Linked DNA regions of Nothobranchius furzeri. The protein of the gene in region 2 interacts with the protein of the main gene of each other region in a biochemical or structural test. Links are inferred from orthologs where the notes say so. Each region holds a gene or a part of one and is shown on either strand. Other genes may lie near its edges.

The links.
Region 1: the proteins of ep300a (region 2) and nap1l1 form a complex in vitro, tested with the Homo sapiens proteins (3 studies listed by BioGRID and IntAct). The link is inferred for Nothobranchius furzeri from reciprocal best matches to the Homo sapiens genes EP300 and NAP1L1.
Region 3: the proteins of ep300a (region 2) and nfyba form a complex in vitro, tested with the Homo sapiens proteins (2 studies listed by BioGRID, with this or other methods). The link is inferred for Nothobranchius furzeri from reciprocal best matches to the Homo sapiens genes EP300 and NFYB.

The regions. Positions count from the first base shown.
Region 1 is NC_091741.1:58,518,000-58,522,270, reverse strand, and holds the start of nap1l1 (nucleosome assembly protein 1-like 1), read right to left. Parts: upstream 2,806-4,271; 5' UTR 2,670-2,805; intron 1-2,669. UniProt on the Homo sapiens protein: Histone chaperone that plays a role in the nuclear import of H2A-H2B and nucleosome assembly.
Region 2 is NC_091756.1:27,988,462-27,992,544, forward strand, and holds the start of ep300a (histone acetyltransferase p300), read right to left. Parts: upstream 2,807-4,083; 5' UTR 2,669-2,806; coding exon 2,581-2,668; intron 579-2,580; coding exon 1-578. UniProt on the Homo sapiens protein: Functions as a histone acetyltransferase and regulates transcription via chromatin remodeling. Acetylates all four core histones in nucleosomes. Histone acetylation gives an epigenetic tag for transcriptional activation.
Region 3 is NC_091741.1:63,172,645-63,176,938, forward strand, and holds the start of nfyba (nuclear transcription factor Y, beta a), read left to right. Parts: upstream 1-1,489; 5' UTR 1,490-1,492; coding exon 1,493-1,627; intron 1,628-1,636; exon of another isoform or gene 1,637-1,910; intron 1,911-2,733; coding exon 2,734-2,827; intron 2,828-2,909; coding exon 2,910-3,040; intron 3,041-3,364; coding exon 3,365-3,562; intron 3,563-4,102; coding exon 4,103-4,181; intron 4,182-4,274; coding exon 4,275-4,294. UniProt on the Homo sapiens protein: Component of the sequence-specific heterotrimeric transcription factor (NF-Y) which specifically recognizes a 5'-CCAAT-3' box motif found in the promoters of its target genes.

The DNA.
Region 1 (4,271 bases), on a different chromosome or scaffold from region 2:
ACCCAAACGGACTCGTTCTCTCCTTTGTCCATCTGAGAAAAATGTGCTGTTCAACACTATTTGTTTCTTTTCACCGGGGAACAAAAGAAGGAAAACATACCAAGGACACACCAAACATGACCTTAAATTTACTTTTTACTCTTTGACTGAAACAGGAGTTTAACTTCATAACAACGACAAAACAGGACCCTGACCAGCACTAAAGCAAACATGTGGACCTTAGCCACAGAGACTTGTTTGAGTCTCTGTGGCTGATACACAGATGTATCAAACCATTCATATGTATGACATAAGTAAATTTCCTTTGTACAACTCAAAACATGAGTGAATACCAGAGGCCTTCTTTACATATGAAAATATTCCAATGCCCAATCAAAACATGTGCAGCACAGCAAGTTACTAGTGCCATTAAGTTACTTAATGCTGATATGGAGGAGCAGCAGATCTACTCTGAGCCCTTCCAGGGTGACCAACCTTCCTATCTTTAATAGCTCATTTCCATTAAAGGCCAACAAATATATTCAATTTTTCTATATCGGCCAAAATTATTTTAAAAAGCTGATAAAAATAAATAAACCTGTGTGGCCAACTGCCGCCACTACTAGACTGAAGAAAGGATCCGAAGGACCACAACACATTGGTTTTTTTTATGTTTTGTGTTTGTTTTATACTTGAAGTTCAATAAATATTAAGAGATTTATTGACTTATGTAATTTATATTGCACACAGTGAGTGTTCAGTTTTCTTTCACAATCAATGTGCTGCTAAAATGTATATATCAGCCTTAATAATCGGCTTTAGATATCGGCCATTGGCAACGAAATTCTTTAGAAATCGGCATTGGTCTGGGGGGAAAAAACCCCATTGGCAGGCCTCTAAATCCAATTTTCTATTTACTGTCCAGCCAAAATTTCTATCAACCATTTTCTCTTATTTGGAGGTACCAATTTTCATCCCTGCTACTTCACATCGGGCTTAAGACCATTCCAGCAAAAGCTGGAGATCATTGCCTGATGAAGCAAACAGGCCCACATCCTCTGCAGAAAGCCGAGACTTTATCCTTAGGCCACCAAAACAAATCCCCTCAACACCTTAGCCATGTCTAGAAATCAGTGACAAAGGCAGACATGGGGATCCCATACAACCTAAAATCTACATCTGTATCTGGAACAGACGCCAACATATTGAATCACATCTCCACGACTTAATGTAGTGGCACTTTGACTTGTGTGTGTGCAACCAGGACTGAAAACCACCAGAAGGGTTTGCGTTAAGGTTTTTTAAGCTGACTTGAACTAACATCAAGTATAGGAGAGTAAAATGAACTCAACCAGTTTCAATTAAATGTCTAGTGAACTGGACTTGACCTTGTTAAATCTCCAGATGATATGCGCCTCACTGCTATGTTCATTTAAACCTTTAAACATCTAATTAGAACTAAAACATTTAAATAACTCAAAGACTTTATAAAATGCGTTTCATAGACTAACTCGAGTCATTTGGAAGCACTCTGTACTTGTAGCCATCCTTTTGAACATAACTGTATTAGAAATTAGAATTTAAACTCAATGAAAGGATATTCAGATTTTAAATAACTATTGATTACAAATTAACGTTTTCAGAATAAGTGCTAATCTGAGCCTCCACTCTAAAATCTGAAATACAAAAATAAACTTATTTTAATATCAAGTGTATTTTATGATTCCACAGCCCAACAACAATGGACTCGTCTTTAATCCAAAGGTTAACACAGGCAGTGCGGTTCACACACGTTTACCATCACGGACCAACAGACCGTCCAAATCATTCTTTTGTTTAGGTCTTTTCGTCTCCATCCACCGACCACGTGTTGCATGCTGAAGTCTACCAAACCATCACACATTTTCAAGTCCCGCTATGTCGCTTCTTGTTTTGAAGCCACATTCTGGAACTACATCAACCCGAGTTAAAACGCCAACCTGCTTGAACAGCAAAGGAGCGCTTTGTCGCTACAAACGCAGGCCGAGCCCCTGGCTCATCACCGGGGAAACTTTAGCCGGCCTGTCCGCTGCTGAATGCTTCAACACTTCCTGCTAGTTAAGCTAGCAGGTCGCTTAGCTTGATGCGCACTGCCCGAGCTGAGCCAGTGGGAGGAACAGGACCACACAATACCGTCCACTTAGAAATCGGTGCCACCTCTTCGGTAACACGTTTTCTCCCTTATGCAACACAAATGTCCATCGGCCTTGACCAGTCCGTTCCCCACTCCAAGCATCAGCTTCACAGAAAAAAACGAGGTCAAGTCAATAAATGCAAAAATGACGAAACACGTGTCAACAAAATGTCGCAAACAATCGACAGTTGCGGGAAACGTCTGAGGTGCTATACTTTAACGACTTCATTATTCGGGAAAGAAAACTACTAAAGACACACGAAGATGGCCGCTGTTTTACCATTTTTAAAGCGCGTGTAACGTTAACACCTAACAGTCAATGGTTAACACATCATGGAGGAGCAAGTCTCAATGGCTGCTGCTGTTGCCGCTATCTGGTTCGCTAGCATTAGCAGAGCACCGCCGTCTTCCCTTCTCAGCCGGTTTGTTTACGCTACAGCATTAAACCCGAACTTCGTCGCTCACGGGAGAGTTCGGGGCGTCGGTGTCCGAACCACTACCAGCTGCCGTCCCTTACCTTCGCTCTGAGACCGGAGACTGGACTAGACGAGGGACACTACGCAGTGAAGAAAAGAGACTCCGCTCCGATGGCGGTAAAAGGGAGAGAGATCCCGCCGCCTGCGCTCATATACATCCGACGTCATCACGTAAACGGGCGGTCACCGAGGCAACGCTCATGGGAGGGGCGCGAGATTTTCCTCCTTGGTGGGTGAACAAACGTTAAAAAACCATCATGATCACGCTACTCTTCATCACTCTATCCATTTATGATCTCCATGTTTTTCAGTTATTACCCGAGCTTGAGCACGTTCTTTAAAAAGTTATATTTTCATTATAAAATTAGGATTATCTTCTCAGCATCTTGTCAGCATCTTGCCTGTTTGGGGTAGGCTTGTGCCATCCCCCCCTCCCTTAAATATATTAATTATCATACTGTTTTACATTGCCGTCGTCTTCCTCTGCTTATCCGGGTCCAGGTCGCGGGGGCAGCATCCCAACTAGGGTGCTCCGTCCAGACCGTCCTCTCCCCGGCCTTCTCCACCAGCTCTTCCGGCAGGACCCCAAGGCGTTCTCGGACAAGATTGGAGATGTAACCTCTCCAACGTGTCCTGGGTCGACCCGGGGGCCTCCTGCCGGCAGGATATGCCCGAAACACCTCCCCGGGGAGGCGTCCAGGAGGCATCCTGACCAGATGCCCAAACCACCTCAACTGGCTCCTTTCGATCCGGAGGAGCAGCGGTTCTACTCCGAGTCCCTCCAGAATGTCCGAGCTCCTCACCCCATCTCTAAGGCTGAGCCCGGCTACCCTACGGAGGAAACTAATTTCGGCCGCTTGTATCCGCCCATGGGGCCCGGCCAGGCCCAGCCCGAACCGGATACATGGGCTCATCCAACTGTGGACCCACCACCCGCAGGAGGAACATGAAGGGTCCGGTGCAATGTGGATCGGGTGGCAGACCAAGGCGGGAACCTTGGCGGTCCGATCCCCGGACAAGAAACTGTTTTACATTATTCATTTATACATGCATATAAAAGAGTGCTTTTTAATCATCAGGTAAACCACACATTACCATTTTATTTGTTGAACACTTTTAACACAGTATTACAACTGATCAATCACAATAAAATTGACAGTACCGTTAAAATCAAAGGAATAAAAACCAAACAGGTAATTAGAACCATAAAATCCAGAAAATGTAAAATTAAGCAACGAAGATGCAAGGAGGAAAAACCTGTAGACAAAATACCAGAACCGGGTTTAAAAGTTAAAAGCCAAGGAGAAATAGTGCATTTTAAGATGAGATTTGAAAGCAGTGATGGAACCTAACTTAGAGAGCTTTCCAGAGTTTCGGTGGTCACAGAGAATGCCCTTTCACTGCAGGTCTTGAAATGTGCCTCAGGAACAGTGAGGAGGAGCTGATCCACGGAGCTGAGAAGTAAATCCTTAACAACTAGAAGCAAGACTATGAATTTAAATGATAAAAGTCTAGTTATTATCATTATTTAGTTAAAATTAAGTACTGGCTGTTAAGTCTGTTTAGTTTTGGTAAAACATTTCAGCCCACAATTTCACACCAATCCCTTCCTACAACTCAAAGAGCTAAGCCTCTCTTATATT
Region 2 (4,083 bases):
AGCCATCCCCTGATTACCGAAGCCCATCCTGGGGGAACCATTCATCACCTGGTTTCCAATCATCCCTGGCTGCTGCTGTCCGTTATTGCCTTTCTGCGGCACACCAATCATGCCCCTGTTAGCCATCATTCCACTCTGTTGTTGCTGCATCATGTTGGCCTGCTGCTGAGGAGAAAGATGCTGTTGTCCCATCATCTGCTGGGGCCCTTGACCTGAGGGGGCCTTCATGTTCACCAAATGTTGCCCCATGGCTGTGGGGCCTCCTGGGCTGCCCATGGCTCCTTGATGCCCCTGTTGACCAGATGTGGTTGGCCCCGTTCGTAAAAGCTCAGACAGTTGTTTGTGCTTAGCCACTGCATCTTGGCCTCCACCAATACTTGTGGGGCCCCCTCCAGGACCAAGTCCAAGCCCCATTCCTCCTACTGCTCCACTTCCACCTCCTGCACCCAAGCCTGCAGGTCCTCCTCCCAAACTGGTGTGCAACTGGTTGAGGTCCCCACCATTGACCAGACCTGGTTCATTAGAGCTGATGAGCTCATCTGGGAGGTCGTGCTCCAAATCAAATAGTGAACCAAAATCTGAAAAGAATAAATACAAAGTTTAAGAAGATCATTTGAACTGAAGGACAAAACTTCCAAAGAGTCAATTCCATATTGAGCTGATATACTCCAGGAAGGGGTACACAACTGTCAACAATAGGTAATGGAAAAAAACCCACCCATGATGACAAGTTTAACAACCAAGCTCAAAACTAGAAGTGACTTTCAAAGCTAGTGGCCTGGTACAACAACTACACACAGCTTAACCTGATGGGGGAATGGAGAGGTGAAAGCATCCCGTACTTCTACAAATTATTAATAATATTAAAATAGTTGATCAAATCAAGTTAAACAAAATGTGCACAAGTGTAATCAAAACATCCATAACATCAATGATCAGCAGAAACAGTCATGTGACTCAAATTAATGTTTTGGTCATAATAGATGGACTGAAAGACTTATTTAGAGGTTTTGGACATTTAGCTGCTTTTCACTGTTTGCTGATGCTTCACTGAATCCCATCTCACATTTTAACCACTTATTCTAACTATGACACAGCTAGAATCACCAAGTGATAGAATAAAAACCATGAGTCTGTATTCAGCTAGATGCATGCTTTTCAGATTTGTACTTAAGTTTAAATAGCTTGTGTCAACGTCACTCCTAACGCTTAGAAAACAACAATCTTTGGAAGAATAAATGGCATCCCAACACGAGGAGGATTTTTCTTATAAAGCACTGCAGCGCTCTCAAAACATCATGCAACGTAACAAAACGTGTGTGACGTCTGGAGTATTTCTTCATCGATTCAATGACAGATTAGTGCTAGACAACCAAAGACGAAGCCGATCATCGTAAAGATGACAACAAATGATTACATTTTATGTGACAGAGAATCTAGTCAACGTGACTCCCTGGCTAATGTCTGTTATGGCACGACGCTATCCACGCTCCGGTTTTTCTTCTTAGGCCGTAATAGCCAATACATTACGCCATTAACTACTATTACTTTTTTAAACTATACTATATCGAGAAAAATAAGTTCAATAACGACTTAAAACACTGGGCCTGAAGATAGACTAGCCTAAATGTTTATTAGTACCCTCTGTTTTCGCTAACATTATCAACGAGTTAGTTTGGAAAACAAGATCCTCTAAGACGACGCTAGCCTAGAAATCTCACAATTCGCGGCTTTGTTAGAAAATGACTAACAGTGTGATATAACTATAAGACAACAAAGACTTCAGAATAAGGCACATGAACACTGAGCTCACAATCAGTCCGAATAAAGTGGTCATTAGGAACGGACAGTTGTGGACTCGGTTAGCCTTGTGGCTAGCAGCTATCTCAGGTGTTGTGCTAAAAATGGCACATCGTTGTAGGCAAACGCATTTGATGGTAGTTTGATTAATTACTTAAGTGGAAGTCTGAAGAAGAAAGTCAAAAGAAACAATCAATTTAGTATGTTGCTCAATTAAATTATTTACGGGTCGTATTTTGATATATGGATGTGTGTTAGTCAATGTTTCAGTATGGCAATTAACCCATCCCGTGGAGAGTAGCAAAATGTTTCTATAAGTATCGGTATTTTTGCAAGTTTCGAAGATAGTGTAAATTTAGTGGCTGAAATTCCTTCCTGGTCAGAAAGAGGCGAATCCTAACATCAATTTAACTTAAAAGCACACAAACTGCATCATTAAGCTACATCTTTCTTTTATCTAGTCGTCAAATGAACTGAAAACCATATATAAATTTGTCACTTTTAACTTGTTAAAATTGAAAACAAGTCAACTTCCCTTAATGGTGGTGCGTTTCGCGGCAGGGGAGCTCATTTCGGCACAACACCGGCTAAAATGGCTGTTAGCATGTGAGCTAACATCCCTTCCTCACGTCCGACACACACACGCTAAAATTAGCAAGCCACGACAAAAACAGAAGAACAAACCCGGGTCTTTGGCCTCTGTTATGCAAACAAGTCACTAAAAAAGGATAATGTTAACGAATATTTCCGTTACAAATGATAAAATAAACCAAAACTTACCATCGCTAGCGGAGGCAGAAAGTGCCGGAGAGGAGAGTTTAGGCCTCTTTGCTGAAGGCGGGCCAGAGTCCAGAACGTTCTCGGCCATATTTTTTCGAAATAAAAATATATAAAGTCTCCACAATTGCAGACGTTTTCACGCCCCTAGAAGCTCATTCCTTTTCGTTTCTAATATTGCGACTTTTCCCCCTCCTTTTGGGGTACTAAGAGGGGGAAAGTCCCGAGTAGAAATTGCTCCTCTTTCCCTGGGTTCGCCTCTCGATTTCAGCCTCGGCGTACATCAACCCCCTCCCTCCCTCGTCGGATTTTTTGTTCTTTATAAATTTCTGCCAGCGGAGGAGCAGGAGGAAGGGATCGGCGAAGGTAAAGACGAGGGAGACACACGCATCGGCTTCGCTCCGTAAACTCAAAGCGCCTCTTCCGATGCAAATGCGCTGTCCCCGGGTGTCGCCTCCATGGCTGCATCCGTCATTTCAGCCTCCTTTCCAACGGAGTTAGGATGAAGATAGTGTCGAGCAGAAAAGGCTGCGAAGTGACGGTGGTGGTGCTGCTGGTGGTGGAAGCGGGTGTGGAGGAGAGGATGTAAATAAAAATATATACATCAGTTAAATCTGCATCTGTAATCACAAAGTGTTTTAATAATAGTAAAACATAATTTATTTTCCAACAACCCAAGCTTGCATCACCTCCTTGTTGAGTTAAAACTGGAAAGACTAAATTTGCATTTTGTCAAACAACTTTGGCACAGGTTGTCTGATTTATCAGAGTTTTGTTGGTTAGTTTTGTTTTATTAGATCTAGACACTTTGCGAACAAATGTGACAATACAAATACAGAAATCCATGCCTGGTCCTTCTGGAAAAGTTCTAACCAGATGGTTCAGACATTTTACACAACCCCTAAAATTATTTATCCCCACAAGTAAAAACATTACCCTTGCCTTGTTTTTCAACCATAGGTTTAAACATTGATTATATCAAATGATTTATTTTGTGAAAAATTATTTCCGCACTTTAAAGGATTAACAAAAAATAAAATGGCACAATGGCTTTATAATAAGCATAAGACAGCTCTCCATTGCCCTGGCAGCTCTACATTTCCATGGTCAATGCATGTCCTCTAAACTTCTGTCTGTTTTCAAAGACTGTATAACTCGGTAACTCTATACCATGCATTGATTTGTGTACTCCAGTGAAAACACCCTTAATTCCTTTATTTAATATATATATATATATATCCTGATCTCTTTGACCAGTCATCAAACAACTCACATTAAAGTCCAGGAACAAGCATTGAAGCTGTAGATAGTCAACACTCCTGCTCACTCACAGGGGAAAACTCCCAAACTAAGGCTCTTGATTTGTGAGAATTTCCACATTTGCAAGGTTCCTCATCCTGTGCATAACTCCAGAGTGTAAATGGCTGTGAGCAGGTGGATTGTCAACGTCACTCATTCAGTTGCATATAAGTGGGCGTTAACCCGGATGTGGACATGGCGTTGGCA
Region 3 (4,294 bases), on a different chromosome or scaffold from region 2:
TGTGTGTGTGTTGTTCAGCCTTTATCAAAATGAATTAAATTACCAGGATGTGTATCATTCCTTCTTCCTTTTCTAGTTTTCCGGTATTCCTCTAATTTGACCCAGAAGTGAGGCTGAAAAATAAATGGCAAAACTGCAGTAAAATGTTCAGGGCCCAGAAACCCATTCATTTACACACACACACACACACACACACACACACACACACACACACACACACACACACACACACACACACACACACACACACACACAAATGCTAAAGTGAAAGGACAACTGGCTGAGTACAGATGCAATAGGCAACAAAGAAGATGGAAATGTCATCAAAAGGAGCCAAATGCACCAGGATCAGCAGCAGCAGCCCGGGCATCACTACACGGCACCAAGAGGAGGCACAAGAAGCACCCAGGCAGACCGCCTCTCCCGGGGCAGTTGGCCCTCACAGAGGAAACACTGATAAAACCTAAAGAGATTAAGATAACAAATCAAATATCAAATTTAGCATGAACACTGGATTAATTAAATTCTAATTAAAACACACTGATAAAAGATAACCAAGTAGAAAGCAACAATAAAATATGTAAACATTATGTAATATATAAGGGCACCTCGCCTTGGGAGTGTGTCCTGACTTTGGGTATAACAAGGAGACGGCTGCCAGAGGAGAGCAGGGGCCGCGAAGGCTCGTATTTCAGAAGAAGTTCTGAGAAATAAGAAGGCCCAAGACCATTAAGACATTTAAAAAACATTAAAAGAACCTTCAAATCGATCCTGAAACGTATGGGAAGCTAATGCAGACGGGTTTAACGTGCTCCTGCATCTTGGTCTTCTCCTTGGACACGTGCTGCTGAATTTTGAAGAAATTGTAAACCTGAGGTGCTCTTTTCGGGAAAACCAGAATTCAGCATAGCCACAATGCAAAAGCAATCAAAACGTTCAATATATGCTCCTCATTTTGGTTTATATAAATCATATCTCAGCTAGTTGTTTGTGTTATAAACCCCTGATAATATGTGAGCAAATTTCATGTTCTTTTGATGTTCTTTAAAATGTTTGTGATGTTCTGAATGCAAATATTTGTTAAAAAAATACAACAACAATTACATTTCATAAAATAAAATAAAAACATTAACGATTCTGTTGGGGGACACAGTTTGGAGGCTTTTACGATGAATAACTTAAATTTAAATGAGACTAGAGAGAGCATGACTAGTTATGTAAAAAAATGACATATTTTGACGTTTGGACAGTTGCATTTCAGTGTCACTAAGAAAGTGGGAATGTATGCAACAACAGTTGATTGGTAGGGGGGGAATTAAAATGAACGATATGATCCCACTTGTGTTATTTTTAACATTTGGAAAGTCTACTACCACCACAAAAATAATCCTCCTCACAACTCATAGGTTTGACACTGTTGTTACCTTAAAATGTACGAGCCTTTAAACCAGCTTTCAGTTCTGTGATCCTAAGGTTTCCGGGAGGTCCTGGAATGCAGCACGTCCCTCTCCTGGTCATTTGTGGTAATGCGGCCGCGGCTCCGCGCTGGGACTGGTCCTTTCGCAGCCATTTTCTGTCCAACCAAACAGCCGTCTCAGGGAGGGAACCAACCAGGGCTTCATTGCAGGTTTGTGTTTGGCTCCGGCCAATGATTGCTAACCGATTCCTCGTTAGCTCGAATGGAAATATCCGTCTCTGACTGATTTTTTTTTTCATTTGTTGTCTGAGTGAATGAAGGCTGCTCATCAGGAAGAATGCACTTTTAAAATTTGTGTAAACATTTCGGCCCGGCTACGTCTTGCTCTGCTTGTGCACGACAAAAGAGCAGGCCGTTGCAGGATTGTGCTGCAGTGGATTTACGATGAGAATTAATGCGAAGGGCATTATGCCTCTAAGGTTATCTCCAAAAGGTAAAGTCCCTCCAGGACAGTCTCTGCTCATCATGCTGAAATTATTGGCTTTCTACATAATTTCAAATCCACTAAGCTAGTTATTGGTTAACATTAGCTAGCGTTAGCTAAATGTCCCACATACCCCCAGCTGACGTCTGCTCTGTAGCCACACAGTGACCAAACACATCATATCACCACAGTTAAACATTTTACATGTCACTAAAATCATCTACTTGCTGTTTAACAGACGACATGACCCAATTCAGCTAGCCAGCGACCACAATGTCGAGGCTGCTTGAGGGTTTTTCTGAATATAGCGGCAATTTCCGCTAGTAGCATGAATGAAGGGGTTTATATTTACGTAAGTTTGAGGTTTAAATTTGATTAAACATTTATTTTAACAATACTGGGGAGTATGATATTTTTTAAAGCGGAACTAATAAAACCGCTTAAATTCAGCGGCGGACACATTTTCAGTTGCGCCAAATGAGCTGCAGGAAAACAGACCAGCAGGTTCAGTCTCCGTGTGTGTTTGATCAAAGTTTTACTAAAAATACAAAGAGATGGTTTTGTAATTTGTATTTTGAAAGTCCTTACTGTCAGCCTTCTCAGGACATGACGTCAGCGCTGAGCACAAAACGTGCCAATGTTTGTCAAAACCAGTCTATGATTATTAAGCAACTAACAGTCTATGTTTAAGTGGCTTTGATCTGCCAACTTACATCAATCACTTCCTGCAGCTGAAACAGGAAATATTCATGGCTGGCTTCAAGATGTTGGCATCTGGAGCCTTTTTCTAATAAGTTTCATTTTAGGCAAAACCTAAGTATGTGTGTTACAGATGGATGGAGACAGTGCAACCACCGATGCCTCTCAGTTGGGCATCACTGGAGAATACATGGCTTCCAGTCACTATGTTCTCCAGTCTCAGGATGGTTAGTAGGACAAGGACCAGTTTAAAATCACCATCATTTCTTTTCCCTGGGTTTTAAGACTAAATTTGTGTCTGTTTTGTAGATGATGGAGAGGAGAATTTAAATGATCACGAAGATGGCGGCATAAAGGAGAACTACAGGGAGCAGGACATCTACCTTCCTATCGCCAACGTAGCTCGCATCATGAAGAATGCTGTTCCGCAGACCGGGAAGGTTTGTAAGAGAGGAGAGGAGGAATCATCAGGAAAAGGCTCTTATTGACAGAATCTGATTTGTTTTTCACCAAATTCTTTTTTTAAACAAAGTACTAAAGTTTTCATGTTTTAATATAGAATCTGATTTCAATATCCTATTGCAGAAATCATAGGTCCACTGTTATTTTTATATGAATGAAACCATTTAGCCTCCATCCATCATTCTGGGACTGATGCTAAGTAATTAACTGGGGACTTAATGCTTCTTGAGGGCTTCACTTCACTTTAGGAGTTAAAGTTCATACATTTAAATTTATTTTAATCTTTTTTTTACTCCTAACAGATTGCAAAAGATGCCAAAGAGTGTGTGCAGGAGTGTGTGAGTGAGTTCATCAGTTTCATCACATCTGAAGCGAGCGAGCGCTGCCACCAGGAGAAGAGGAAGACCATCAATGGGGAGGATATCCTATTTGCCATGTCGACACTGGGCTTTGACATGTATGTGGATCCACTAAAGCTCTACCTGCAGAAGTTCAGAGAGGTGACAACACAATCTCTATACACACTGCTGTATGAAATAAAAACTATTTTGTATGTAGTTTTACTTTTGTTGCACAGAAACAAATAATTTTCTAAGAATAAGAGCAGGTCTTATAATTTAAGGCATGGTTTTGGTCCAGAAGTGTTCAGAGTACTTATGACTCTTTGACCTTTCTTCACAAAGTTTTAAATATCATATAAAATAAAATGACTGTGTCGTTTTGGTCATATCCTTAAAATAACATCAGCTTTGTTATAACAACATTTAGCTCAGTGTCTGTAGAGCTGAGTCGTTGTTTGCTAATGGTGGTCAGGTGCATCTTACATTGTCTTCTTAAGATAATCAGATTTAGGTCTGATGTTGATTATTATTATTAAAATCCATCCTACAGCTCAGCTGATGTCTTTCTGACACATAAAAGTACAGAGAAAAATGTTCATCTGATTCCACTACCAATTGTTGGATTAATAAATTGAGGTGGATTTCAGTCCACTCGTCTCTGTACCCAGTCACGTTTCCATGCTTTTGTTCTCCTCTCAGGCCATGAAGGGAGAAAAGGGCATCCCAGGGGTGTCAGTGGGGGAAAGCCTGGGTGAGGACCTCACAGAGGACAGCTTCAGTAAGTGATGCAGATGAAACTTCTGGCAAACATTTTTAAATTCCTCATCGTGTTTGTCCTTGAATTGCTCCAACATTTCTTCCTTTTCTCCAGCAAACCCACTTCCTGCTGGG